3 linked regions of the Arabidopsis thaliana genome follow. The protein of the gene in region 3 interacts with the protein of the main gene of each other region in a pairwise test. Each region holds a gene or a part of one and is shown on either strand. Other genes may lie near its edges.

Region 1 (11,006 bases), on a different chromosome or scaffold from region 3:
AAAAAGTCATCAAATTACGTTTTTTTATAAACATTATCCAAAGATCTGACCTTTATTGATTGACTTTACTGTGCTTTTACATTTGTTCGCACGCATTTATGTGGTTTGTCCAGTTTCACTTTAGTATTCTTTCTCTTATATGGATGTGAACATGCATTAGTGACACATAGTTCACTCCTTTTTATTTTCCTCGGAAGTTCTCTTTTTCATGGATTCTTAGCATTATGTAATATACACTCTAACTGCTTTACTTTGATTTTAGAACAAGGGTTTTAGGGCTTGGATGCTTTGTTTTCATTGAAAAAGAAGTAGAAGGAGTGTATACAAGGATTATGGGAACTCACATCAATTTCAACAACTTAGGAGGTGGTGGTCATCCTGGAGGGGAAGGGAGTAGTAACCAGATGAAGCCAACGGGTAGTGTCATGCCCTTGGCTAGGCAGTCCTCGGTCTACTCCCTTACCTTTGATGAGTTACAGAACACACTAGGTGGACCGGGAAAAGATTTCGGGTCGATGAACATGGATGAACTCCTGAAGAGCATATGGACTGCTGAGGAAGCTCAGGCCATGGCCATGACTTCTGCGCCAGCTGCTACAGCGGTAGCGCAACCTGGTGCTGGTATCCCACCCCCAGGTGGGAATCTCCAGAGGCAAGGTTCGTTGACGTTGCCTAGAACAATTAGTCAGAAGACTGTTGATGAGGTGTGGAAATGTTTGATCACCAAGGATGGTAATATGGAAGGTAGCAGCGGAGGCGGTGGTGAGTCGAATGTGCCTCCTGGAAGGCAACAGACTTTAGGGGAAATGACACTTGAAGAATTTCTGTTCCGTGCTGGGGTTGTAAGAGAAGATAACTGTGTTCAACAGATGGGTCAGGTCAACGGAAACAATAACAATGGGTTTTATGGTAACAGCACTGCTGCTGGCGGCTTAGGTTTTGGATTTGGTCAGCCAAATCAAAACAGCATAACATTCAATGGTACTAATGATTCTATGATCTTGAATCAGCCACCTGGTTTAGGGCTCAAAATGGGTGGAACAATGCAGCAGCAACAACAACAACAGCAGTTGCTTCAGCAGCAACAACAGCAGATGCAGCAGCTGAATCAGCCTCATCCACAGCAGCGGCTGCCTCAAACCATTTTTCCTAAACAAGCAAACGTAGCATTTTCTGCGCCTGTGAATATAACCAACAAGGGTTTTGCTGGGGCTGCAAATAATTCTATCAACAATAATAATGGATTAGCTAGTTACGGAGGAACCGGGGTCACTGTTGCAGCAACTTCTCCAGGAACAAGCAGCGCAGAAAATAATTCTTTATCACCAGTTCCGTATGTGCTTAATCGAGGACGAAGAAGCAATACAGGTCTAGAGAAGGTTATCGAGAGGAGGCAAAGGAGAATGATCAAGAATCGGGAATCAGCTGCTAGATCAAGAGCTCGAAAGCAGGTGAATATAAATCTAACTAAACTTATCTAGTCCCTTTTGTTTGGTTTGACTATTATGGTCTTATATTTTGCAAGACTGCATTAAACAGAAACATAAAACCAGCAAAGATATCTTCTATCCCGAACCACTTCTTGTATTATGAAAGATGCTTTATCTTCCATGTTTTTTAACTATCCACTAATTACAGGCTTATACATTGGAACTGGAAGCCGAAATTGAAAAGCTCAAGAAAACGAATCAAGAACTGCAGAAAAAACAGGTTTCTTTCTGTTTACAACCTCTCTGTGTGTTTTCTGTTTTCCCCTATCAGACTTTTAGAACTTGGCTCTGATCCTAGCTTCCCCTGTATTGCAGGCTGAAATGGTGGAAATGCAGAAGAATGAGGTAATTGTTTAAGAACTTTTCTTTTCATTGAGTTCATTCTGAAACCCTTGACCATACTTGATTAGGACCAACATCAGCAGCAAAAGACTAAACTTAAGTTGTAGCTCTGATAGTGTATGTTGGTCCTTATCAAGTATGTCCCCAACTGAAGCTCAAACCTGAGATAGCTTTCGAACATTTCGTGGTCTTGCTTCGTTTTGAATAGCCTTTTTGATTGTGTTGTTCACTAGTATTCTTTTCAAAATTAGCAGCTGAAAGAAACGTCGAAGCGACCGTGGGGCAGCAAAAGGCAATGCTTGAGAAGGACATTAACCGGACCATGGTGAAGGATGAAGCAACAAGAACGGATGAACCAGACTCCTAGCTTGGGATTAATGTAATAGGATAGTGCTACCTGTACAGGAGATTAAGAGAAATTGAGTGAAAGATCTAGGTTACAGAGTAGGAGAGAGTTTTCATTATGAATAAATGACATTTTGTGCCCTGACCTTTGTTAGTTTAGGTTTAGATTATCCTCTGTTATTGACTTATTGTGCTTTCTGGTTGTTAGGGTTTCTAAAAGACATAGTTGTTTATATATATGTCTGACTTTGTATTCCGGATTTGGTTCTCTTGTGTCATTAACTTGGGTTTAGCCATTATTACTTAAGAGTGGCAACGAAATCATTCTTGACTCTGGTTGGAAAACATATGTCATCTTTCAAAACTGCAATTAGAAAACAGTTAGGATGATCCTAAGTGACAAATTTCTAGAAAAAATGTGACTAATTTGTCTCTGCTCACTCAAAAAGAGAGACCATTTGGTGGAGAGTGAGGGGAGCCAGTCTCAAGCAGAAAACTCCGGCTACAATGCGACCTTGAAGTAGTACTAGAGGAAGAAGCCAAGCCACGGATGTCTCCACTTTGGAACCCTGAGTCACCTCTCAGTGACCGTCCTTTGTTCTCTTCAACTGCCATTGCAAGCCCGAGATGCAACGGATCACAGCTTTCGTACAACAGCCTCAGAACTTGCTTGATTGATGGCCTAGCCACGCCTTCTTTCTCTGTGCACCATCTTACAACTGCCACTACTGTTTCAAGCTGTTCTCCATCTATGCAGTCTTTGATTCTCGGATCCACCAGATCTATGCGTCTTGATTCTGATACCAGCAAAGGCTGAGACAGTTCTACCAGGTTCCTACCTTCATCAACCGCTCTTTTCCCAGTTATGATCTCTAGCAACACCACTCCGTAGCTGTACACGTCGCTTTTCTCTGTTAGTTCATGTGTTACAACGTACTCTGGATCTACATAGCCTGAAATTCAGATTTCATGGTTTTAGATTTTGCTCAATATTTCAAGAGTAGTTAATTCCTTAGTATCCTGACCTGGAGTTCCGCGGATATCAGTATTAACAGGTTCAAAACAAATGGAGCCATCTCTAGAAGCATGTGCAAGGCCAAAATCTGCAAGCTGCACCACATAACCCCACACCCACAGGTCAATTCTTTAAGAGGTAAAACGAATTGATAAGTCAGTGACCAGTTGATGTGAAAGGATGCAGACGCACCTTAGCAACAAAGTGCTCGTCGAGTAATATATTGCTTGACTTAATGTCTCTGTGACAGAGGGGAGGGTCACAGTAGAAGTGAAGGTATTCCTGCAGGAAAGGAAGCATATCCAGTTAAGAACTAAGAACAGTAATAATAATATAAACCATAGACTAGAGTATCAGTTTTATGGAAATTTACCAGAGCATTAGCCACATCAATTGCGATTTTCATCCTTGATTCCCAACTTAGTGGAGATTTTTCCGTGGCTGCAGAGAGGAATAACAACGTTCAAGATTCTTAGTCAAGTCTAAAACAGAGGAATGCAATCTGAAAATCATGAGCATACAGTGTAGATGATCCTTCAGGCTCCCATTTTCCATATACTCGTAGACAAGGAACCTGTAATTCTCAGGTTAGATGAGCAAAGGGCAATCCACACAAATGGGGAGAAACGAAATGAAGGTCAACCGTAATCATTCACCTCTCGTTCTTCTTATTACAAAACCCTTTCAAAGCAACTAGGTGGCGGTGATGCAGCCTGGCGAGAAGCTCTATCTCTCTGCAAAATTCATCTTCAGCTTGTTCAGAGCTCTTGTTCATCTTTTTTACAGCTGCAACCAACCCATTACTGAACTCAGCTTTGTAAACAGTCCCAAAGCCCCCACGGCCAATCACCGCGTTGAAATCTTCAGTTGCTTTCCTTATCTCCTTGTAGCTGAATTTCCGAAAACCAAACGAATTACCTGAAAAATCAAAACCACACATTTGTTTTACATGGTCTAACATCCCTTGTTAGTGTACCATCAGAAGAACTCTTCACCTTCATGAATCATCGACCTTGGGCGGGGAGAAGGAGATGTCCTTGTTAGATTACAAGCGATGCTCTTGGAGTCATCAAGTTCTCGTTTTTTTCTTTGGATAAGAACTATTAGGACTACAACCATCACAAGAGCAAAAACTGTGACAGCAATCCCAATAGTCGGAACCATTGTCAAGTGATATGGATGGTGACTTTTTAATGGAGACAAAACAAGATTATCGCTGCTTGGACTATCAGCTAACACTGGAGGAGAAGCTTCTGGACTCAGCGATGATGGAGACGAACCTGAGTAGATGTGTCAAGAAAGTCAGAAAAGAAAAGAAAGTCCAATCTTGATCTGATACTAAGAAGATTATACAGGACACACTAGTAATATATACAGGATCTGTCAAGCATCTTTCCCAATATAGAAACAATGATAAGATTCTACACTCCATGAATGGTATGTTGACAGAGAAAACAGTATATACCTGGAGTGGGGCTAAGCTCAGGCACATTAAAGAAGCAGCTAGCTAGTTCAAGAGCCGATGAATTGTCAACCCGGCTTGCTAACACAGCATAAGTTGCATCACGACAAGTACTCAGTTTGATGCTATTATCAGCACCAACGAGGCTCCTAAGGTAGCTGATACTGGAATTCAAACAATTCCTGCATTGATCACCCGGAGGAAGCGGGAGTTTGCAGTTTCTGGAAACATCTCCAAAACTTGTGGAATGAAGCATTGGCGGTACAGTAGTCAGACCCTCACAATCATAGTTAACAAGAATCTTGGTCCCTAATCCACAGAAGATGGTAGCATTTCTTGGGATTCCATAAAGCTCCATGGTTCTAGAGATAGTAGTGATACAGATTTCAGTCAAATCTGATGTAACTCCAAGATCAGCTGTGTAGTTTGCATAGCGGGCGACAGATATTGCAACGAAAGCATTCATGTAGCGGCAGCATTTAGCTCTCTCGGTGTTGTTCGAGCATACGGAAGCCACTAGAGTGAAGTTAGATGAAGTAAAGTCCAATGGACAACCTGTAAACACAATATATCACATAACTTTGCTTCAATTTTGCAATAGTTTCTTTCTCTCAATGAAAATCTCATCAAAGACTACGACTTTAAGCAACGAATTCACCACAAATTAGAACAAAGGAACACACAAAACACTTTAATGCACATCGAAATTCGCACAAAGCTTAAACCTTTCAGAAAAAGCAAGATTAACAACAGTTCGTTTTCTCTTCTTTATCTAGTTACGAATCAAACCCATGGAAGAAGATTGTCAAGGAAGATTCTCAAAAGACTGATGTGGTGAGAGACAAAACCTGCTTCGGTGAGTAAAGGAAAGTACTGGAATCCAAGCAATGCGAAGAATGCGAGCAAGAGAGCTTGATTATAAACCAACACCATGGCCAAAGAACAGAGAGAGTCGTTAGGAGAGGTCAATGAGAAGTCGCCTGAAGAGAATATGACAGTGGAAGAAGGTCAGTGACAATGAGATGGAGAGAGAAAGAGAGAGCCCCCAACTTTCTCTATTTCTTGATGAAACCCATTAAACCCCTGAATAATCCTTAAATTTGTCATTCTCTTATGTTTTTACCCGAAAGTTCGTTGTAATAGTTTTAAGCACCCCCATACAAATAAAATTACTAATTTTCGTTCAATAAAACTTTTCATGTATAAACATAATCATTGCAGTGGTCGGTTTTTAAGTTTCTTTTTTTTTCTCTATCTTATCTCTTCACATGATTTGGTTCCACAAAGAATATTAACAACTCTTAGAAACAATAAGCCGCTATATGTTTTCATCATAAAACACCTGTAAAATGTTAACATACGGCGGACACCTAAATGTCAAACTAGATGATAGTATGGAAGGAATATTAAAACTTCTCCAAATACTTTATCATATGGTTTTTCTCTCATGTGTGAGGTTAGTTTTATGATTGATTTGGACCGGCACAAAACGTATTTAATTTTCATAAGACTAAAGTACTTTATAATTTTAGCTGGCATGCTAATTAACTTGATAGCATTTGATTACTTGATAATGATGACAGTCTCATGCAAGTTCTTCATTTTTTGGTTAAGTTTATTCTTTAAAATGGAATCAAAGAACCATTTCATGTAGGATGGCATGTTAACTTGTTAAGTATAATAATAAGAACAAACCATAAAGGAAAACGAGAAGCCAATAAAGAACTCTCTTCTATAGCTATTAATATCATCATTGTATCCTAGATACTCGCGATTCCTCATGTTATTTTTTGTTTGAAAAGATAAATTTAGATTTAAGTTTTTATTTACCGTTTTTTGTTGGTTGGTCAAAACAACTTGTAAATCACCCGTTCCAAGTCTTTTGGAGTTTTACCAAGTAGTTGCTTCTTCCCAAAGTCAAAATCTTTGGGTTTTTATTCTTTTAAACTTCTTTATGGGATTTTGGTGCAAGAAAGAAGAAAATGTTTCAGAGATTCACCTTCTTTCTAACAGCTCTTCTCATTCCATGTATTCTAATTATCCTTAGCCCTTCATATGCCCTCAAGGTAACTTAATCTGAACAAATCTTTCTCAACATCATCAAGAATTGATCATAAATGAGTCTAACCTAAAAAAACCTAATGGATCGTCGGTTTCAAGAAAATTTACAAAACAAAAGTGTTGATCTTTGTGTTGATTGGTAGGAAGGAGAAACATGCATCGTGAGCAAGAATTGTGATCGGGGATTACACTGTGAATCGTGTCTCGCCAGCGATAGTTTCCGACCTAGATGCTCCCGAATGCAACCCATTAACCCGACCACCAAGGTTTCTTGTTTATGTTCTTTTCATTTAGTCATTAATATTCTTAATATTTGTTGAATCTACTGATCATTATCTTTTCATGTTTTGTGTCAAAAGGTAAAAGGGTTGCCTTACAACAAGTACTCATGGTTAACAACCCACAATTCATTTGCTCGAATGGGTGCAAAATCAGGCACTGGCTCTATGATTCTTGCACCTTCCAACCAACAAGATTCAATCACAAGCCAACTCCTTGTAAATATTCTTCTTCATCATAATAAACCCATTTCAAAAGTTTTATTCTTTTGATAAACCCATTCCAAATGTTCCATTCTTTGATTTGATTCTTATGTTTACATTTTTTGGGTTATTACAGAATGGTGTTAGAGGGTTTATGCTTGACTTGTACGACTTCCAAAACGATATATGGCTTTGCCATTCTTACGGTGGAAATTGTTTCAATTACACCGCATTCGTAAGTTCTATATAGATTCTTATAACTTGATCGGTCCAGTGTCGAAAATAGTTCTAATTAATTTGTTTTTTGGTTTGTATGTAGCAACCCGCGGTTAACATTTTAAAGGAGTTTCAAGTGTTTCTAGACAAGAACAAGGATGTTGTTGTAACGCTTATCCTCGAGGACTATGTGAAATCTCCTAATGGTTTAACCAGAGTGTTTGATGCATCCGGATTACGAAACTTCATGTTTCCGGTATCAAGAATGCCTAAAAACGGAGAAGATTGGCCTACTCTTGATGATATGATATGTCAGAACCAACGATTGCTTGTTTTCACGTCTAATCCTCAAAAAGAAGCGTCGGAGGGAATTGCGTTTATGTGGAGATACATGATAGAGAATCAATGTGAGTTCGTCTCCAAATATACTAATACATCATATTATGATAAGTTATTATAAATATGAAATATTGATATAATGTTATGATTTTGTAGATGGAGATGGAGGGATGAAGGCTGGAGTGTGTACCAATAGACCGGAATCAGTTGCAATGGGAGATAGATCAAGATCACTTATTCTAGTCAATTATTTTCCGGATACTGCAGATGTGATCGGATCTTGTAAGCAGAACTCTGCTCCTCTTCTTGACACCGTCAAAAACTGTCAAGAAGCCTCGGGAAAACGTTGGCCTAACTTCATTGCAGTCGATTTCTACAAGGTACGTTTTGGTGAGATTTGGATCCGGTTAATGTTAACATTTGTGTAATGTTCATGTATGTGTGTGGTGGTTTAGAGAAGCGATGGTGGAGGAGCTCCAAAAGCAGTGGATGTTGCAAACGGTCATGCAGTTTGCGGCTGCGAAGATATAGCCGCTTGTAAAGTTAGTATTATATGATTATGTAGTACTCACTATGTGAGTTATGCTATTATATGTAATGAAAAATTGTTATTTAACGTTTTTGACTTTGTGCAGGAGAACATGCCATATGGGACGTGTGAGAAGCAAGAAGAGAAGAAACCGGAATCAAACCTAATGATGATAGCAAAACTTACCGCGGAAGCGACTAAAGGCTATGGCCACCCATCTACCAAACCGACCCTACTTGGGCTTTCTGTGTTTGTTGTAACCTTTGTCTCACTTCTCTCAACTTTTTGACTCAAATGATTTACTTTATACAAATGACAAAACTCTAATCTAACCATGTTCCGGTTCGCAAAGAACCAACGAAAACAAAATCTATTTTACTTGTATAGTAGTCACCTAAAATACACATACAAAAAGAAAATGCATTTATTCAATAAGGGGTACTTACAAATATCAACCATGTATATCATTTTAAAAACAACTTTGTTTTAGCTAGAGATTCCGAATCCGGTCTGGGTTAAGAGCATTGTAAGATACCGGTGGCGAAGCCTGACCGTCTGATCCTTCTTGATCCGGTTTAATCCGGTGGGGATCTTTGCCACAAGGGAGATAAAAGAAAGACTTAAAGTTAGGACAACTCTGTTTCCGCAAGAAAAACTTGGCGCATTCCCATGGTGTTCTTTGATTCGTAAGATCTAGAATACAATTCATACCCACATCAAGAATCTTCCTCTTGATGAGTGTTCGACATTTTGGACCGACCTGTGTGAAGTAATTGTACGAGAGAGAAAGGTTCTTGAGGGCTGAGAGCTCGCAGACAATCTCCGGTATAGTACCGTAGAAATTGTTTCTAGCCAAATTCAGCTGCTCCATCTTCTTTAGGCATCCGAAAGAGTACGGAATCGGACCGGTTAACTGGTTTAACTCAACATCGAAAACCGTAGCTCGGTTAAGGTTCCCAATTTGGTACGGTAAGCAACCAGTTAACTTGTTATTCAAGAAAAGGACTTCTTGTAGGGACTTGATGTCACCAATGCTTCCCGGAATAGGACCTGTGAATCTGCATCACATCACATGTAATTCCCCCCAAAAAAATAACTTTAGAACCTTAAAAATACAAGATACAATTCACAAATATCTCGTGACATCATAATACCAAACTTGAAATAAAAACAGAGTAAATAACTCTGTAATTTGAAACAGAGTAAATAATTCCCTGATAACAAAACGAGAATGAAAGTGTGGAGCTTTTGAGACCTGTTATTAGCGAATGTGAGGTAAAGAGCGGTGATCGATCCAAGATTTTCAGGGAGTCTCTGAACAAGATTGTTGTTGTTGATGAACAATACGTCGAGGTCTAGATTGAAAACCTGAGGAGGGACAGAACCGGAGAAAGAATTGAATCTGAGATCGAGAAACGTGAGGTTCGTTGCTTTTAACACAGAGCTTGGGAACTCTCCAGAGAGCTTATTGTTGCTGAGATCAAGCTCGAAAAGGTACTTCAATTTGCTGAAGTTTGGAACAGAGCCCACAAAATTGTTACTGTTTGCGTGAAAGATGGTGACTTCTTCTAACTTGTTGAGGAAGTTATCTAGCCGGAGTTTCTTGCCACCCAAGTTAAAATTGTTGAACTGAATGCTGGCAAGTGCGAGGTCGTTTGTTCCCGGTAACTTGGCGCACTCGAGTCCTATGTATTTGTCCTGAGCGCAAATGTCGGTGCCTACCCATGTTTTAAGTATGCTCTTTGGATCATCTTCGATTAGCGTCTGGAAATTCTTGATGACTGGATAAACTTTCTTTATTAATGGGCTTGAGAAATGTAGCGGCGGTGGCGGTGGAGGAGGAAGTGGCCGTGGTGGCGGTGGTGATGGTGTTATATAATGATGATAAGGAGGGGGAGGATAGTGTTCAGGCTCCGGAGATGGGGATGGAGGAGGGAGTGACTGTGGTGGCGGCGGGGGTGGTGGCGTTTGAGGAGGAGGAGGCAGCGGAAGATAGTCTTCTGGCTCCGGAGATGGCGCAGGAGAATTGTAATTGGTGCTATCACTGCCACCGCCGATGATGATTTCGAGAGATTTTCTGTAGGTGTTGTGGTTGTTTCCGGTGGCTAGAATTGAAAGAAAGTGAACAGACAGAATCAAGAAAATGGAAGGATAATAATTTGGGGCCATTGCTGATAGATTGATGAGAGCCTTGAGGATTGGCTTAGGCAGAGCTACATATAGAGAAAGTGACTGAAAATGATGAGAAGTCAATGCACATGTCTTCTTGTGGGCTGGTTTTAGGTTACAACTTACAATGCAATTAGCTAAATTTACATTTGAATTATTGGTAAGAAAAAATATTAATTAAGATCTTCATATTATAATGCCAAAGGGTGGTTGGATACATGTGTAGCTATAGCTTCGTTGGTGTATGATTTTTTTCCGTCAACGGCTTCCACGAAAAATCTTGGTAATAGAAAAAGAGTAACATAAATTCTTTAGTGTGTGATTAGCAAAAAATAATAACCAATTAGTATTTGCAACAAACTATTTTCTAATAGAATCTGATCAAGGACTCTACCATAGATTTTGGTGCTTTGGATCCATTCTTAGAGTCAAAGGAGCGAATGCCTCTGGTGAGTCAAAGGGCATTGGCTTTGTACAGTACAACACTGAAGAATCAGCTCACAAAGCCATAGAACATATGAAACGAATGTTTCTTAACGATAGGAAAGTATATACG
Region 2 (9,625 bases), on a different chromosome or scaffold from region 3:
GGCAGACGTGAGACGACCAATAATAAAAATAACTTAATGCCAAAACAAATTTATATGATGAGATTTATGAGTAGACTCGTTAAAATATTCCTCAGTGAAAAAGTATTGCATACCTCAATGAAATTGGTGTGAGGTCCATAAAAGAGAGTTCAAGAAAGAAAGTACACATATTTACATTTTGAGTCATCGAAGTTCCATTTTACAAATATTAATACGTCACTGAAAAATGAAAATACCTACAAGAAGATATATGTGTACTGTGTAACTGTAACAGATTGGGTGTAAGAAATCGAGAATTCTTTTACTTCTTATTAATAAAGAAGATAAAAACACATGCTTTTATGCAAACTATATAAAAGAAACACAAAACAAAATTACATTCACACATGGAACCAACTATACAATAAAACATTGCAGTTTTCAATGGGCCACGAGTCTTAATGCATGTGAAACCAGTGATCAGTGACCACGTGTTAGGCTTTAATTTGTGAATTCCATATGATCCAACAATTTAACAATATCATCTATTCTAACTTGTATAAATTTATTTCGTCTAAACTGAGCCTTCTTAACCCCAAAGATTTGGCAATCGAGTTTATGAACTCCGATTTTATCTTACTCACACATTCTAAACTATAGGAAGAATTTCTTTATATCTTCCACCCATTGACAAAGATCGTACTATGTAATAAATTAGACCGCAAACAATTAACTTTATAAGAATATACCTTGGATAAAAATAAAAACAATAAGAGAACAATGTCAAAAACAATCACTAAAAACTTTTCTTTTATTTCACAAAACAAAAACTTTTCTTGAAGGTAAGTGAAAAATATTTAATTGATTGTAGAAAAGACGTTGTTCTTTTTGTTTACGGGTTTCGGGCTACACCGTCGTCACCTGAGGCGGTCTATATGTTTGTGTCTTCGAGGCTGTCATGATACTAAAAGATTAGAAATAGAATCGAAAAATTCACTTTGTAGAAAAGTTATATATTAGCTCGAAACAAAACAGTTAGACAATAGACGTACCTCGAATTAATACGTCATCCTTATTAGATTCTTTTTCTTGTGTGTGCGAAACCTTATTAGGTTCTTCACACCGTTTTTCACAAAGGTAACGTAAGAGACGACAAATCAACACGGCACAGAACACCAACAAAAACACAATGCATCCCAAAATAATCTTCTCCATATCGTGTCTGCTTCTTCTTCTTGCATACAAATTATATTTAAACACTAGTATGTGTACTGTTAACGAGTTTACATTTTGAGGTCAGAAAATATTCCATTTTAGGATCTTATGACTATGTAAAGTTTACATATTTTATCAATGTTTCTAATTTGTGATCACATTATGGATATTGTGATCACATAACGAAATGGGAAAATGCCAAAAAAAGAACATATCCAACTTTAAAATTTGCCAAAAATATTTCAAATTTTTCATTAACGGAGGCGAGGAGCTAGGTATATGAAATTATGAATATTTCAAACGACGCTGTTTCGATTATATAAACTAAACCAAGTATCGGGAAAGATAACCGATCCAAATCAAGGACAGTAACACAAACCGAAATAATCCAAACCGGGATTATACAGACAAAGTGGATTATAAGAGCAAAAACTCAGTTACCAAAAATTTCTGCGAATTTCGTTTTGAATTTAGGAAACGAGAGAAATGAGTTTCTTCGCTGTTGCTTGCTCCGCGCCAAGATCTTCTATGCTTCTCACCGGCTTGAATTCGAGCTTCTCTGATATGCATCGCAGCCCACTATTTGTTTTCCCGGTGACTATATCATCCCGGAGCGTGAAACGCTTCGCCGCTGTTTCGTCTGATTCCGTACTAGACCCTGAATCCAAAAATCAAACTCGGTCCCGTCGCAAAAATAAGGAAGCAGTTACGCCAATTGCTGAAACCGAGAACAATGAAAAGTTTCCGACAAAGGTCCCGCGTAAATCGAAGCGTGGGCGGCGGAGTGAAGCAGACGCTGTGGAAGATTACGTGAGAAGCTCCCTCGAGCGTACTTTCTCCACCATAAAGGAGCAGAATCCGGAGGTTTTTGAGAACAAGGAGAAGGCGAATTTCATCAAAGACAGAGGCGTTGATGAAGAAGAGGAAGAAGAAGAAGAGATGGTGGTGGAAGAGGAAGATCCAGATTGGCCAGTAGATACAGACGTTGGATGGGGAATCAAAGCTTCGGAGTATTTCGATACACATCCAATCAAAAACGTGGTTGGAGATGATGGGAGTGAGATTGATTGGGAAGGTGAGATTGATGATAGTTGGGTCAAGGAGATCAATTGTTTGGAATGGGAAAGCTTTGCTTTTCATCCTAGTCCACTCGTTGTCCTTGTATTCGAGCGATACAAAAGGTATAAGCTTTGTTATTTCATTGACGAATTTTCACAAACACTTGGTGTGCATAGTAGAACTATGAAAGCTTTGTTCTTTTTCCTTCACAACATTATCTAGACTATGATTACAAGTTGAAAGAGCCATTTGAGTTAGATTCCATGATCAATTAACTGCAATGAGTATAAAAACTGAAACTTGTTCTTAGAGTGACCAAAATCTACTACTGTTGGAATAATTTTTTGAGTTGTTGTGCGTTTTATAGAGCTAGTGATAACTGGAAGACATTGAAGGAGCTTGAGAAAGCTATCAAAGTTTATTGGGATGCGAAAGATCGATTACCTCCACGGGTATGTCGAAAGCCTTCTCTAGTTGCAGTTTTAACTTGAACATTACTCTTTGTGTACTAATCTCTCTTGGTGTGATTACATGTTAATGTGGCTGCTCTCTGTTAACAAGAATCACCATGTTTTATGAAACAGGCGGTTAAGATTGACCTGAACATCGAGACAGATTTGGCATATGCTCTTAAAGCTAAGGAATGCCCACAGATTCTCTTCTTACGCGGAAACCGGATTCTGTACAGGGAGAAAGGTGATAAGCTATGTTGCTAACGTTGTTTTCATGTTTTTTTGCAATATGTGTGAGCAATAGATTATCATAGCGTATTGAACTTGATGCAGACTTTCGCACGGCGGATGAATTGGTTCATATGATTGCGCATTTCTACTATAAAGCGAAGAGGCCTTCGTGTGTCGACAAGGCTAATGTAACCCCGTACTGTTAGTTTGTAACGGGCATAGAGTAGTTTCACTCAAAAGGTCAGTCTAGGAAAATTTACATAAACTTCACTCATAGATTGTTAACATTTTTGTATGTTCTATGCAAATATAAACTTGTTCCCAAGTAATGGATTTTACTCGTCAATCTGTGCTTTCCCTAACACGTTGATTCGTAACCAATGATGCATACATATATCAAGAAGCCAGCTCCTTTTATAGAAAAATTGTTTGAAGGATAAACTATTAATGCAAAAATCCATAACATAAAAACAAAAGCATTGAATCAATAAGAAAAAGCAAACTAAAAAAAAAATGAATTCCACAAAGCTAATCTCATAATGACTAAACCTAATGTGTTTAGTCTCTTATCAGTCAAGTAGCTTCTTCCACTTGGCGTAACCAACGGTGACTATGAAAAGCACAATGCAAAGCGCAACGACAGCCCACACAACGTAACCAAAGATGTCAGGTGTGCTATACAATCCAATTGGTATATTCATACCGAACAAGTTGACCACCACTGTCCCTGCAGTTATTGCATAATTGCCTATATTCACAAGCATCATTAGGTGGATCAGTCCGTTACGTCTACTATTCTGTAGTATCTTCACGTAGGCTTCTGTGCTGTCAATATGCTCCTTCATCTGCAATTCAAAAAAATATTAAATTACCAAGGACCGGGCATTAACACATAACAACCAAACATAACCCGAGCTTGCATCTAAAACTTATATGGTTTTCTTAGACCTATTTAGGTACATTTACTACTTACCAAAAGAATTTTGTTCCGCATTCCCTCTAGTTGCATGAAGTATGCCTCAAGCAACATCTCCATATCATCAATGTCATCTTCCTCCGTCACCATACTGGTGCTTATTCTGTTTGATGTGTGCCGTTGAAGATTTGGTTGGGAGACAATGCTATTTGATGCTGCCTCGGTTTGTTGGTTTTGAATCCATTTCCTCGTTAAGTATAAGTCTTCCATGTCTTCCTTGTCATCTAAGAAATGTTCGATTTCATCTCTCACCTGAATAATGTACTATAGCTTTTATGTTTCCGTCCAACACACAACATTATAGTATCATTGGAAAAGGTAATAACCTTTTACCTTTTGTACACGGGCTAGCAAGTGGGTGAGACTAGTTTTTAAACTTCTTAGGTCTTTAAGATTCTCATTGCTGACTTTCTTGGTTAGTTCATCAAGAATAGACCAAGCTTGTGTCTCAAGGTCTACCACATTGCTATCAACAAATGAGCAGAAGACCTCGAATGCAATCTCTAGTACCCGAAATTCAAAAGGAAGCTTACTCTTCAAACCCTCTTCTCCACCTTCTTGATGACCATGAGAAGAAGCTTGCAATATATTTTCAGGACCATCCTTCCGAGGAAAGTGATGCTTTAGTCGGTCAGTGAGTGTAAGAACTTCAGGACGGAGAGAATCCAACAACATAACTTGTTCTGAAGTAATTACCGCCTTTATGACCTCTAAATTCAGGACAATAGCTTTCTCTCTGGCTGCGTCATAGCAAGACATGGATTTGTTATTGTCTGTTGTGAAAACTAGTCAGCAAAAAAGACACAAACGTGTGTATACCTAGAATTTTAGAAGAGTGCGAGAAGGCAGTTCTTAAATCCTTAGCCGAAACAGAAGAACGTTCGATGATGGTGCTCTTGTCACATCCAGCCACTTCCATGAATCCAGTCCGATCAAACCTCGTCCATAGACAGACTCCTCCTCTTCTCTTCTTTGACTTCCCCGTCCCTCCCACGATTGCACTACAAGGCGGAGTAGGAGGCGATAGAGATGAAGGCATCCTATTCATCTTCACCGCCGTACCCTTCTTCCGGCTGCGGTTGCTCGTACTACGGCGAAGTGATCCCATTGACTTACCTGCAGCTGGTCAGAGATCTCTCCGCCGAGTCCTGCCGCTTTTGCTTGACTTTCTATTTTTCCGACGACGTACCCGAGCAGGGTTTGTGTTGTGTGTTTCGTTTCGGTTTCGGCCATGCGTTTGTTGTGCATTTAGGTTTGGGAAGTGTTTATTAAGTTATTAACTAATATAAAGTCTTTTTTAAGTGATTTTTTAATTGATTTTTTGCTTTTCTTAAAACTTGTAAATAGTTTTGCATATTATCATAGATATTACGTTTTTCTTTATCAAGATAAGTATGAACTCTTGTGGAATTATCTTGGAGATCTTGCATAATCTTTGTAGTGTTTGTTTGTTAGAATCCTTTTTTTTTGGATAACTGTTGTATGTAAAATCGCCAAACACAAACAATACACCACGATAGATGCAACTATTGAAGGATAATCTAATAATTCAATAATCTATAGCATAAAAATAAAGAACCCTTAAAACAATTAGTCATACTAAAACAAACAAAACAAATTCAACAACCCGCCCTACTCTGATTTTGCATCTCCAAAATAATCGTTCCTATCCACACCAAAAAAAAAGAACTATTTAGTCATCACAATTCCTGCAATTATTAACTATACTTTTCAGAGAAAAAATGTTGATTACCTTAATCGACGGAGGGAATTATTCACTCGCAGAGACATCAGTCGTACTCTTGTCTCTAAAAAAATTTAGAATCTCTCTAAACCAGCACGACAAAATAGCCGAAAGGATGACGAAGAAGACAACGATTACGGCTATGGCATATGAGGTAGCACTATTCATCTTGTTCTTTGCAACACAACGATTTTTTTGTTTAGTCACTTTTGTTTATGTTTCGTTCTTCTTCGTTTCGAGACGATTATATTTTATAGACAGCTCCCGTTTGTATGTTAATAAGGAAATTCCTATATCCTTTACATTTTCATAAAAGTTAAGTATAGTCACGTAAATATTAACTTTACATTTTGACGACAAAATTTTAAGAAACATAGTAAACTTTACAACAACAAAAAAAAAAAAAAAAAAAAACAAACAAACAGCTTTAAGCCCAAGCATCTGTGGTCCAGTGGTAGGAGAAGATTTGGGGAAGGGTGAAACTTCCAGACCTGGGTTCGATCCTCTCTGAAACAAAAATCACATTTGTTTGGGAATTCTGTCAGTTGGGATTTGGCCCAATTGGTTTATCTAGTAGGCAGAAATACAGGCGGCCTGATTACCCCCTGGCATTAGTCGGAAGGCATCCAAATTCGGGACAGATAGTGAGGTGGTCCTTCGGAAAGAAGTCCATTCTGAAGTATTTCGGTGCATTTCTACCGGTGCTGACCAGATCAGCCGATAGGGTTTATCAAAAAAAACAAAAAAAAAAACAGCTTTAACGTTCTTGAATCTTGGTGCATATATGATATATCATTTGTTTACATCTTTGTTGTCGTCAAGATAAGTTATTCCATGATTCTTAAACAAAATTTGTCTTGCAAGGAAAAACATATTTATTCGATATGAATACTAATGGGATGGTTTCAGTTCTTTCTTTTTTTACTTCTCTATACTTTTGTTTTGTTTTGCAGCGAGTCAACTATCTTTGAGGAGATGCAGTAAGCAGTAGACTGAATGGTGATCATTGGGTTAACCCCAACAGCTGATGGCAATATACTTCCATCACAAACAAACAACCCCTCTGCTTCCCAGCTCTCACCATTCTCATCCAACGCACCTTCCTCCGCGGTGACTCCCATCCTACAACTACCCATCTGGTGAGCCGAGAAGTACGTCGTCCAATACTCTCCTTTTGTGCCAACCCCACCAACAGCATCAACTTCGTCTAGAAACTCTTCCATGGCTTCTTTAGTAATTGCCTCACACTTCATCTTCTGTCCATCACTCCTATATGTTCCGACTTCAACTGCACCAGCTGCAACCGAAACCCGCAAAGCTTGTCTAAGACCTGCCCTCAGATTCTCTCTATCTTTCTTGGTTGTCCTGTATGTAACTTCGTTTTCCATCATAACCTCACCTGACCCTAAGTCCCGAACCAGAGCAAAAAGATGAGCTGTTCTTCCGTACTTAATCATCCTCTCTTTAAGGTCTGGTCCTGAAACCCACGGGCTCAACCCTGCGTAAGAAGCTGGTCCTATCAGTGGATTCTCCAGTATTGCTTTGCATCCAGATTCAGTATCATTCATATGATGGACGGACGTGATGATCCCTCCCTCATACATTTTCCCGGAGAACTCAGAATCTTTCTCCGGGAAGTATCCCCATGTCATCAGAACCGGGTGCAGCTTTAAGTTCCTTCCAATGTTCGGGTTCTTTAGCCCACTCGAAAGCATCAGAGGCGGTGTTAACAGCGATCCAGCGGATGAAACCGTTACTCGAGCTTCGATAATAAACTTCTTCCCAATCTTTCCTCCAACAGAGCTAGCAAACACTCCCACACATCGTTTCTTTCTCTCATTGCTACTACTAGTGTTGTCTACTAATACAAATCTCTCAGCTTTGATCCCTGTCAGGATCACTGCACCATTCTCTACAGCATCAACCAACCAGGTTTGATCTGTCCCGTTCTTGGCTCCTGCTCTACATCCATACCCGCACAAGCCACAGTAATGATCCTCTGGTGAGTTCCTTGGAACTGATTCTACCTGCAAACCGAGTCTCTCGCACCCTTTCCGCAGAACCTGATTCTGAAACCCGTGTTTGACACATCTTTCCGTGACACCAATCCTTATCGTAACTTCATCCATTGCAGACTGATATTCTTGGCTACCAAAAAACTTGATCTTACTCCCTTCAGACCATTCCTGCAAAACATGATCCGGTGTCCTTATAGATGCAGACCAATTAACAGCTGTACCTCCTCCAACAGCTGAACCAGCCAAGAGCATAAATTTCCCATCAACCGTAGTCAAAAGGCCGCCTTTTTCGTATAACTCGAGCATAGACGGAACTTCTAGACCCGAATAGTCATGAGCTGTAAAGTAGTTTCCTTTCTCTAGAACCAAGACTTTCAATCCAGCTTTAGCTAGGTTTGCAGCTGCAACACCTCCTCCACTTCCTGAGCCTACAACAACCGCATCGCATCTGATCCTGTACACATTGTCACCATCGTCTCTAGCAACATGAACACCTTTTTCAGTTAGAGATTGTGTGATGGTTACGTCACTCTCATGCATAGTTTCAATGATCCCTTTCTCTAGAGGTCGTCGCTTCTCATCTGCTTCACTCTTCTTGTTGCTACTTCTCTCTGTCCCATCGATGCAATACCCTATAGCTTCCAGTGCAGGATTCTTCAGATTCTCATCCGTCTGGGAGAAGAAGTAGAAGAGGGTGTAGAATTTTGCAAGGAAGAAAGTGATACGAAATGGAAGAAGGAATCCACTTTGTCTAGACCAATTTCTCAAGATCGCTTCTCTTTTATCCAATGGAAGTTGAGAGAATTTAAGAACAAAAGGCCAACTCTTATCAAGACAGAGAGACCCACAAAGCAACAAAGTTCCAAATCTGAATGACAAAATCATCAATATGATTCTCAAAACTTTGACTGCTTCTGATCGTCCGTTTTTCACTATCATCTCCGCCACCTAGATTTAAATCCAAATCAAACAACAAGAAAATAACATGACCAACTTCACTATCTATAATAGAACTATTCCTAAATCGAAGCAAGATCTTGAATACAAAATTAGAAACAGAGGATAGAGAGAGAGAACCTCATCAGTGAATGGTGGTTGAGTAGAGGAGGCTACGTGGAAGGAATTAACAGCTTGCTGTTCCGACGTGGTCTCCGGAGGGAGGAAAGTTTGACAGATGACGGCAAGAGATTGAATCTGAGACGGTGAGAAGCCATGGTTGTAGCCTTCTCCTCTCTTCTTGGATCTGAGCAGAGGATGTCCTCTGTTTCTTCTTCTAACGTCTTCCATGTTATTTGTGTATTACCAAACTCCTTGGAGAATTGGAGAAATGATTGGATTAGGATTTTGAGGAGAAATCCGTGAGCTTATTGAAGAATCAGACAAGTCTCGTTATCACGAAGTCTTCCTTGTGTTTTGTTTCTGCTGGTGGGTCTCACTAGTTATAATATTTGTACGACTACGATAATAGTAGATTAGTAGTAGATCTTTTTGTCTTCGAGTAAGAATTTGACATCTTCAAAAGAGTTTTCACTACCTCTCTCTCGAAAGTCTTTGTTTCTTTTTATGTTCCAACGTTAAAAGGTTTACTTCGATTTATATATATTTTTTTAATATGGATTATAGAGTAGTTTTATAAAGAGGAAAATAGCAAATCGTTACTATTCAAACAATTTCTGTTTTGACTAATATTGGGTCTAAATGGTGACATTAGTTTGAGGAATTGATGAGAAAAACTTGTTGATTTTTTTTTTTTTTTTGTCACATCATTTAGTCATGAACTTCACGAATCACCCAAAAACAAAAAAAGACTATACAACAATAATTTTGGTCATGACTCATGAACCTAAAGAATCCACTAGATTTTAAGAAACTGGCATCTAATAATAAGAGTAAAGCAAAGAGAGAAGAAACCAAACCTCATCCTCGACCTCATCGGAAAGTAAGGGTAGAT
Region 3 (9,945 bases):
GAGAGACTCAACACCATCAAGAATTTGGTCGCAGATTTTCTTTTCCGCGGCGAATAACAGTTTCACCTGTCTCAAGGCAACAAAAGCAAGTGCCGTGTAAACGAAGGAAACAGTAGCGATCTAGTAAGGTATTCTTGTTTTGTGGGAGAGAGTTTTTTACGGATATTCTCATGTAATGTATCCAATTCCCAATCTTGGCCTCTAATACCTCCCATTGCATTCTCTGAACATCATCTTTGCTAAGCCTCTCCACTCCTAATTTCCTCAAACTCTGTTCCAACACCGCAGCTCGAGTATCCCTAATAAAGTTCGAAAACGTATATGGATTACAAAACTAATATGTGTGACTATAGAGGTTCTACTTGAAAGAAAACTGAGAAGTTGGACCTGTAAGATTTGAAAAGTTGTTGCTGATGACCAGCTTGAACCATTTGTTGAGCTAAGTCATGAAGCAGAGGCAGAACCCTTGGAGGAATGACAGTTGGGACAGTAAAAATAGCGTTTTCTAAGCTCTTGTGATGGGGATCATGAGTCTTTCCACCACCACCTTCACCTTCTGATGATGGTCGAAGATTACTCGGAAGACATTCGAAAAGGCGATCAGGTTCCATTGGCTTACTAAAATATTGAAACAAAAAAGTAATGTGTTAGACCAAATCCTTGCACAAGCAAAACGAATTTTCTTCAATAAGGCACAAGTGTAAGTCTGTCATATCGAAAGACGAACCTGTAGTTTTGCAGTATCTGTCTGAACTCATCTTCTAGCTTTGATAGAGCTTTAGAAAGTAAACCGTGAGCATGACTAATAACTCCACTAGCACTTTTGAACATTTTGTTGTTGCTGAAGAATTTGATAGTGCCTCTTAGTTGATCAATTGCTTCCAGATAGCTTTCAAGATCCTCATGTGGTCCTCTCAATATTTTAGCTTCCGCCTGACAAAAAAAAATGATCAATCATTATTCAGCTTAATATGCCATACACACACACACACACACACACGAAGAAAACGATCTTAGGCTTAGCTGAAGACAAAAAAACTCTCCTTAACAAGAACAGAGTACTTGATATCTAACTGGATTGGGTCCTAAATCCTAAGTTTCACAGCATCAGAAAGCAGACATTTGCTACTCTGTTCACATGATGCATTCTCCACAAATGTTTCAGTTGTAACTTCAACTAGAGAAAACATGTCTACAGTTATCATCTTAAGAACACTTAACTTGAGGAAACCTAAGGGGAACAGAATGATAGCTTGAAAGACAAGCAAATAAAAGGAGAATCTTGTATGGTGAGTGTAAAGAGAACACCAAACCTTTCTAGAGATATCAAATTGATCCAATATAACCTCAGCTGCTTTCAATGCCTTGTCAATATTCTCATGAGCTCTCCTTATAGAATGTGTTCTTATCTACACAAACACAATCACACCCCCAAAATTAAACGTCGAAGAAGCCAACCATTTTATCACCAAATCCAGAATCACATTTCAATTTCAACAGAAGATAGATCTCAAATTCCACAACCTTGAGACTCTAAAAATCCAAAAAACAGAGAGATCATGAAGAAAGGACCTGTGTGGGACGCATTGCGGTTTCAAGAGCCGAGAGACGATGATCGAAAGAACCTAAGATTCCGACCATGTTATCGGTGATGGTCTGGCTCTTATGCAAAGACTCTTTCATCAAACTTGCTCGCTCGGTTAGGGCTTCCATTGCTTGAGCCACCCCCATTTTCTTGATTTGGATCGATGAACAAAAAAGAAGATGGTGAAAATTGATAGAGAATAGTTTTGGTTGCGTAAAGATTCAGAAATTTTTTGAGGATTGGAAAAATGTAAATGTGTTTGTTGGTGTAGTTAGAGACGCTCCTCTACGATTCGTGAGACGACGATACAATTAAAAAGTTTCATGCGATTTTGCTTGGAGAGACCCCACCACATAAGCGATGGTTTCGTTACTTTCATATTTTTAGGTTGATTTTGTGGGTCCCTACTTGTTTTTATTAATTGCGGAAAAAAATATAAGCTTAATAAACAAATAGACAAGATATTTTCCCTATAATATATTTGGGGTTGTTACATAAAAATCGTTACCCCTTTCTCATAGTGGAAAACAAAATCTACTCTCATACCAAAAAATGAATCATCTATTTAGGTAAAGAATCATATATTTTATTAGGTAAACAAAATATCTTTTAGGATACACTTCATCGTTATTATCGATCACAATCATCTTATATGTAAGAATAGAGAGATGGATTTTTAGAGTCTCTACACTCAGAATCAAAGTTTCTATGGTTAATCTCTATCTTCTTCTTCTTCTTTAATTTTGTTTTTAAATACGAGAGAGTGGTTATGATTTTCCGATCGTTGATTTCATAATAGAAATGAACTTCTGGTCCTTCTTTGATTTTTTAACAATCTATTTATTTATTTTAAGATTGGAATTTAGGGTTTATTGCCCATCCATGATCTGATGGGGGTTCTTAGGGTTTCGATTTAAGCTATGAATTCGATACAGTTTTGAGGGAGTCAGATTGTTGAATATAATCCAAACCTATGTGCTTGTTCTTTGTTCATTTTTCAGTTTTTGATCAAATCAATTGATTTTTCAGCTAGTCTTACTCTTTAGAACTTTTCAAATCATATAATATTATTTTACGATAAATTTATAATAGAATTGTGCATCTTAGGGGGAATTACAGAATTCAATAATCTAATTTTATTTGCTCTAATCGTTAGTTTTTTTTTTGTTCGTAGTTGAAGAAAAGAGAGCTTTGACGAAAAAATCATCCTTTAGAATGGCAAAGACTGATGTGGATGATGAGTATGGTATGTGTTTTAGCAATATGATTTTTTTTATGAATATCGTCAAAAACGTCCCCACTATCCCGTCCACAAATGATTAAGGTTTTCGAGATATGTTAATAGATACTATACCCGTTTGTTTGTTTTTGTGTTTTAGTAATATACTTCTCTTTTTCAGCTAATTTAATGTGAAATTTCTTATTTTTCTCAGGTCTTAAACCCTCTGAGTTATATGGAAAAAATACATGGAAGATTAAGAAATTTTCACAAATCAGCAAAAGGGAGTTCGCTAGCAGTGTTTTTGAAATTGGAGGCTACAGTTGGTACATGGCATGCATATCTTTCTCATCTTTAATTTTTGTCTCAAAAAAACTCTGGAAATGGTTTTGAAGGCTTTGTGTTGTTACTTTTATCTTCAATGTGTCAGGCATATTTTAATGTATCCAGAAGGATGTGATGTTAGCAATCATCTCTCATTATTTCTCTGTGTTGCAAACCATGATGAACTTCTTCCAGGTTTGTATTTTTTTCCACTGGTCTGCTTGGTCCTTGTTTTCTTTCTCTGGATACTTAGTGATATATATTCTTTTGCTATCTTGGACACCAGGCTGGAGTCAGTTGGCTCAGTTTACTATATCTGTGATGCATAAAGATCCAAAGAAGTCTAAGTTTTCAGGTGATTTTTCGAATCTTTAATTGCTTGCTTCCATTTCGATATCCAGACAACTGAATTCATGATCTTGTAGATACGCTGCACCGGTTTTGGAAGAAAGAACATGATTGGGGATGGAAAAAGTTTATGGAGTTACCGAAGTTACGGGATGGCTTCATAGATGATTCTGGCTGTCTTACAATTGAAACTAAAGTTCAGGTGATCAGGTAATGCAAGACCGACTCTATGAGCAAAATATTACCACATGCACGGTCCATTTTTCCATGCTACCATATACTTACAAGTTACATCTCCACATGTTCATATGTTATATTTTTTCATTTCCTCGGCCATATAATTGGTCCTTGCAGAGACAGGGTGGACCGACCTTTCTTCCTTGATTATGGTTACAAGACAGAAATTGTTAGGGTGTATTTTCGAAATATAGAGCAAATTTTCCTACGCTTTGTGGAGGAGAGAAGAAGCAAGCTTGAGAAGTTGATAGAGGACAAGGCCAAATGGACAAGGTATTTCACATTTCAACTTGTACCCTTAACTCCTCCAGATTCCATAAATGTAGTTACCTCTTCTTTTGAGGAAACCATGCCATGTTAGATTAATATATTGTCTTCCAACCATGTCTCTAGAGACCATTATAAATTTGCATTCTTGGTTGCAGCTTCGGTGTTTTCTGGTTAGGAATGGACAAAAACTCTAGGCGTGAGATGTCTAGAGAGAAAATGGACGTAATCCTAAAAGGATTTGTAAAACACTTTTTCATGGAAAATGTTGTTACATCACCTATAGCGATGGATTGCTTGTATAATGGGTTGAAGGATCTTGAAGTCCAAACTAAGAACAAGAAAGCTAGCCCAAAACTGTTAGATGACAAGGAATTGCCAGCTCCGTTTGTTAAAGTGGACAGAGATATGTTCGTATTAGTTGATGATGATGTGTTGTTACTCCTAGAGAGGGCTGCACTCCTAGAGAGGGCTGCTCCAGAGCCATTGCCTCCGAAAGATGATAAAGCTCTTCAAAACCGTATTAAGGTCGGCTTAATTCCATTATCCGCGTTATTGTTTATCTTATGCACTTTTCCACTAGAAAGTTACTTGTATTGATAAATTTTGTTTTTTTTGCTTGGATGCAAATCTAGGAGGACAAGGATGAAGAAGATATCAACAAGGAAGCTTATGAGATATGTTTAAATGAGTGGGGTAGACGAACTGTGGAGATATTTGTTCTTGACCATATCTTTAGGTAATAATGCATAATTTGTTTCTATATAGTATGCCATTGTGTTCTAACTTGATGTGCTTATGTATTGTACTTCAATATCTCTGAGCAGCAAAATTGAGGTTGCATACAAAGAAGCTATTGCGCTTAAAAGGCAGGAAGAACTTATCCGTGAAGAAGAGGAAACTTCAAAACGGAGCAAAGTGCTAAAAAAGGGTTTTGGGAAATGTAGACTGAATTAGATTCGAAATGTTTTCTGTGTTTTGCGTAATTTTGTTTCGGTTTTCGGTATTGAGAAATCTAGACCATATGTTGAACCGAAATTGTCTGGTTTGGTTATTTTGCAGAAGTTTGGTTTTATTTGGTTTAAATTTATTCAAATATGGAAACCGGTGGTCCCTGTATTTTAAAATTTAATTTGGACTATGAAATGATGGTGCACATTAAGATTTGTGGTTAGTAGTTGTGAAAGTTGGTACCGACACCAAAATATTTTGATGGTGCATACTTCTTTAACATGTGTTTTTTTTTCTTCATTAGATGCTCGACGATTATACTACACATGTCTAAATTGTTTTAGTCCATATGATGATTTTTGCAATTATGTACTACTATATTGCACATAATTTTTTGAGTTTGAATTTCAATGCTATTAAAAAATTTCATATAGTTCACTTTAAGTGAATTTTAACGATTTTGCACACAAAATAATATAGATATTATAATTATATAGTTATAACTTCTAATTGTAAGTTTGTAACCATAGAATAATCATGTTGATTAACGTGTTACAATAATAGTATAATTATCATATAAATAATGATGAAAATTTAATATCTTCAGAAAAAATATACTCGAATCGTAAAGAGATTTTAGAGTTATCTCTGTATTACTTCTCGTTGTAATATAGATGTAAAATGTACAAAATAAAGGATGATTGAAAAGTTGTTTACACACAAAAAAAAAAAAAAAAAAATATTATGCCAGTGAACTCCACACCACTTAACATCTTCAATAATTGACAAATACAAGACTCCTTTTCTGACTTTTCTAAACACCAGTGATTAAATGTTCTTACACAGAGCAATACTATGATTTGAAATGACATATACACATGTGTTATATATAGCAAACGAGTTCTTGTATGAATAACTCACTCATATGAAAATCCATTATTTTGTTTGACCAAAAAAAAAAAAATCATTTTTGTGTGCAATAATGGCGATGATCATAGGCTTACTTGAAATCTTCATCGCATTCATTTTCTTCTTTGTCTACCAGTGTTTCTCGCTCCACAAGAAAACTCCAAAGCATATGGTCATGAACTGGCCGGTCCTTGGGATGCTTCCGGGTGTGCTCTTCCAAATCCCTCGTATCTACGACTTTGTTACGGAGGCTCTTGAGGCAGAAAATATGACGGGTTGTTTCATAGGGCCATGGCTTAGTGGAACAGACATATTGCTCACTGTTGACCCGGTGAATATCCAGTATATTCTAAGTTCAAACTTCGTGAATTACCCCAAAGGGAAGAAGTTTAACAAGATCTTTGAATTCTTGGGAGATGGGATTTTCAACGTTGACTCGGGCTTGTGGGAGGATATGAGAAACTCGTCTCATGCGATTTTCAGCCATCAAGATTTCCAAAGTTTTTCGGTGAGTACAAGCGTAAGCAAATTAAGTCAAGGGCTTGTTCCTATTCTTGATAACGCTGTTGAGAAACACATTCTTGTCGACTTGCAAGATTTGTTCCAGAGATTCTTGTTTGACACATCTTCTACTTTGATGGCTGGGTATGATCCAAAATCTCTCTCCGTTGAAATGCCTAAGGTTGAGTTCGCTGATGCGATGGATGGAGTTGCAGATGCCATGTTCTATAGACATCTCAAGCCGGCTTTCCTGTGGAGTATCCAATCTTGGATCGGTGTAGGAATAGAGAAGAAGATGAGAAGAGGTCTCGACGTTTTCGATCAAATGCTAGGGAAGATCATATCAGCTAAACGAGAGGAGATCAAAAATCATGGGATTCATGACTCAAAAGGAGAGGCCATGGACGTTTTAACATATTACATGACTATAGACACGACCAAATATAAACACTTGAAACCGAGTAACGATAAATTCATCAGAGACACTATTTTGGGTCTTGTGATAGCGGCAAGAGACACAACCAGCTCAGCTCTCACTTGGTTTTTCTGGCTTCTCTCTAAGAACCCTGAAGCAATGACCAAGATCCGACAAGAGATTAACAAGAAGATGCCAAAGTTTGATCCGGCAGATTTAGACAAGCTCGTGTACCTAGACGGTGCCGTGTGTGAGACGCTAAGGCTATACCCATCAGTCCCATTCAACCACAAGTCACCGGCAAAGCCAGACGTGCTTCCAAGTGGTCATAAAGTTGATAAGAATTGGAGGGTAGTAATCCCTATTTATTCATTAGGCAGGATGAAATCTGTTTGGGGAGATGACGCAGAAGATTTTCGACCAGAGAGATGGATTTCAGACAGTGGAATGTTGAGACAAGAGTCTTCATATAAGTTTTTGGCGTTTAACGCTGGTCCAAGAACTTGCTTGGGGAAAAGATTAACATTCTTGCAGATGAAGACAGTAGCGGTCGAAATCATTAGAAACTATGACATTAAGGTCGTTGAAGGGCACAAACCAAAACCAGTTCCTTCCGTTCTTCTTCGCATGCAACATGGTCTCAAAGTTAGTGTCACTAAGATTTAGTGATATTTTATTTTTGTTTTATGTTACAATAAAATATTCCATTGTGAAAGAATATTTATGGGTAAAGATTTAGAACCTCATGATAATATAAATTAAAATAATAAAATAAATGAAGTAAGTTTGTTTCTTTTGAAACCATTAGTGCTAATTTTTCCTATCTAAAATCATATTTCTCTTATCCAACTTTGTTATTTTCACAGAAATGAAACGCATAGCCCATCAACCTTTGAGTAGAAGCCCTTTGGAAGTACAAAAGTATGGCGGCTCTGGAAATTCATCATTCTAAATAACTGATGAGATGAGAGTAATAGGACTTGCATGAAAAACCTATATAGTCCAGCAAGTTATCATTCACTGCTTTAAAACTACTATTATTACATAAATCAACATAACCTTCATCCGCAGTGGCATAATTTATAACAATTATTTATATCATAAATTTTAGTACATGTAAAGTTTATTGAAAACATGAAAAAATCATAACAAATATAAACCTAAAATTTTAGGTATTCGTTTGTAATACTGTCAGTACCTAATTTTCAATAAACAGCTATTCACTTTAAAATACAATATTCAGTGATTGTTTGTTATCACAATGGTAATAATCAAAGATGAATGTAAAATATGTTTTTTTTTTGTCCACCATCACAGGAGCAAGATAAGCAAAACTCTTTAAATTAACAAATCTTTCATCTTTTTGCACCTAATCAAAATAAATGTCAAGTTGATGATCAATATATTTACACTAAACTAAAGTGATGTGGATAAAGCTTAACTAATCTCATGAGCATGACTTGTCAAAATGATGGAAAAAAAGAAATAATACTTGATGATGATGTGAAAATAAGTAGTTCAGAATTTAGCTTTATCAAACCGATCACTAAACTTGTGAAATTGAATATCCAAAATCAGTGTAGAAACAATATACACCTCATAGTGATGCAAGTTAAAGCATCCTCATTGCTAAATTATTTTTTTTATGTCTCAAAATCAACATATTTAATATTTTAATATCAAAAACAAACTGACCACTAACAACAAGACATATGGAGGGAATGATCTTTAAACTGACCATTACAAGATTTTAAATGTCTATAGGAAGACACATTTCTCACCTTGATTCTTTAAATTCTTTTTTTTTCTTATTTCTATTAATTTTATATTTAAAGACTCTTTATTTTGATGACCAATGGAGATGGTCTTAATTAAGTCGGTTGTGTTTCTTGGCCTTTTTGAATCAACAAATAATTTTCCATAATGAGCGTTTCAATGTCAAGTTTTCACTTAAAGAACTAACTTTAGCCACAAAAACATCACATTCGTCATCTTTTAAGCTTATGTAATTGTCATTTAGTGGATTTTAACAATGAAATATCATTAAAAATATTTTCGTTTCTTTTTTGTATAACTTTTGATGAGTTATTAGGGAGTCCCAAAACAAACAAAAGCAACTATAGAAAACAAAATCAAATATGCTCTCATCCTAGAAATATTCGAGAACTTTAACGATAGAGACAACACCTCAACAAGTCACACTACTAGCTCATAATGTAAAATCCTGTGAATAATTCTAAGAACTTTGAAGGGAATAAATCCAATGATTTTACCCACTTTAGACCTAGTAGCTGGTATGGAGGAACTTCTTAATCCAAAGCCGAACAATTTATTAACCAAATGTCCTTTTTTCACACAAACAAGGAATTATACCATAATACATCAAAGACGTCAAACAAAACACACATAAACATCCAAAGTGAAACTTGAAAATCTCAGTTCTCATATTCTTAAAGCTCCTTCTGCACCGGAACAACAGTGGAGCCAAGTGATTGTGGAGACTCTTCAACGGAATGAGGCGATTTTGGCTTCACCTCCTCCGTCGCACCACCACCAAACCAGCCAGATGATTTTGGAGCCTCTTCAACAGAATGTGGCGATTCTGGCTTCACCTCATCAGTCGCACCACCACCGAACCATCCTTTAATCCTCCCAACCATTCCTCCTCCTCCTTTCACTTCCTCTTCCACCGCCTCACCCTCCTCCGATGCTGCCTTCTCGGTAGAGATCTTCTCCACTTCCTTTGTCGTCGTTTCCTTCTTCTCTTCTTCTCCTCCAATCTGAAGTTTCTCGGCAACCATATCAGAAAAGGCTTTGTCTTCTTCTTCAGTTGTCAGTTTCTCCGCCACATAATCTCTACCCGACACACTTTTATCTTCCCCTCGTTGCTCCTCTACTCCACTTCCACCTCCGGAGATAGGTAACTTCGTCGTCACGGCAGACTCTGTTTCTTGATCCTTCTCATTGACCGGAGTCAACTTCTCATCAACAGTTCCCGCCACTTGAGTTTGATCTCCCACCGGAATTTCTCCGGAGTAACCTAGCATTGAAGCAAACTTCTCTGTGTAAGTGCTCTGTTTTGGCTCCTCTGTTTTCTCATCTCTCGTCTCCTCAAAATCATCTCTGGACTCCTTAAACTCATCTCTTTCTTTAGGATGAGAAAGTTCCGGTGAGAATTGATCAAGAGTC

What was found.
Region 1: the proteins of CYP96A4 (region 3) and AT3G19300 interact in a protein complementation assay, tested with the Arabidopsis thaliana proteins (one large-scale study listed by BioGRID).
Region 2: the proteins of CYP96A4 (region 3) and MGT5 interact in a protein complementation assay, tested with the Arabidopsis thaliana proteins (one large-scale study listed by BioGRID).

What each region holds. Positions count from the first base shown.
Region 1 is NC_003074.8:6,687,624-6,698,629, forward strand, and holds AT3G19300 (Protein kinase superfamily protein), read right to left. Parts: upstream 5,758-11,006; 5' UTR 5,588-5,757; coding exon 5,503-5,587; intron 5,210-5,502; coding exon 4,658-5,209; intron 4,473-4,657; coding exon 4,188-4,472; intron 4,111-4,187; coding exon 3,849-4,110; intron 3,767-3,848; coding exon 3,714-3,766; intron 3,634-3,713; coding exon 3,566-3,633; intron 3,475-3,565; coding exon 3,385-3,474; intron 3,288-3,384; coding exon 3,203-3,287; intron 3,131-3,202; coding exon 2,619-3,130; 3' UTR 2,495-2,618; downstream 1-2,494. Other genes in the region: ABF4 (ABRE binding factor 4), read left to right, coding at 333-1,451, 1,639-1,710, 1,806-1,835, 2,084-2,161; AT3G19310 (PLC-like phosphodiesterases superfamily protein), read left to right, coding at 6,637-6,720, 6,859-6,981, 7,075-7,212, 7,334-7,432, 7,517-7,820, 7,909-8,132, 8,208-8,294, 8,388-8,570; AT3G19320 (Leucine-rich repeat (LRR) family protein), read right to left, coding at 8,772-9,339, 9,537-10,450.
Region 2 is NC_003075.7:14,118,884-14,128,508, reverse strand, and holds MGT5 (magnesium transport 5), read right to left. Parts: upstream 5,021-9,625; coding exon 4,732-5,020; intron 4,653-4,731; coding exon 4,246-4,652; intron 4,165-4,245; coding exon 3,910-4,164; intron 3,782-3,909; coding exon 3,506-3,781; 3' UTR 3,420-3,505; downstream 1-3,419. Other genes in the region: MRL7 (polyadenylate-binding protein 2-binding protein), read left to right, coding at 1,681-2,375, 2,621-2,705, 2,838-2,949, 3,039-3,142; AT4G28570 (Long-chain fatty alcohol dehydrogenase family protein), read right to left, coding at 6,586-8,622, 8,752-8,961.
Region 3 is NC_003076.8:21,242,588-21,252,532, reverse strand, and holds CYP96A4 (cytochrome P450, family 96, subfamily A, polypeptide 4), read left to right. Parts: upstream 1-5,758; 5' UTR 5,759-5,913; coding exon 5,914-7,422; 3' UTR 7,423-7,557; downstream 7,558-9,945. Other genes in the region: EXO70A2 (exocyst subunit exo70 family protein A2), read right to left, coding at 1-66, 161-299, 388-618, 728-933, 1,314-1,409, 1,573-1,731; AT5G52330 (TRAF-like superfamily protein), read left to right, coding at 2,801-2,831, 3,019-3,130, 3,235-3,323, 3,415-3,483, 3,554-3,686, 3,831-3,986, 4,139-4,508, 4,616-4,719 and 1 more; LTI78 (low-temperature-responsive protein 78 (LTI78) / desiccation-responsive protein 29A (RD29A)), read right to left, coding at 9,207-9,945.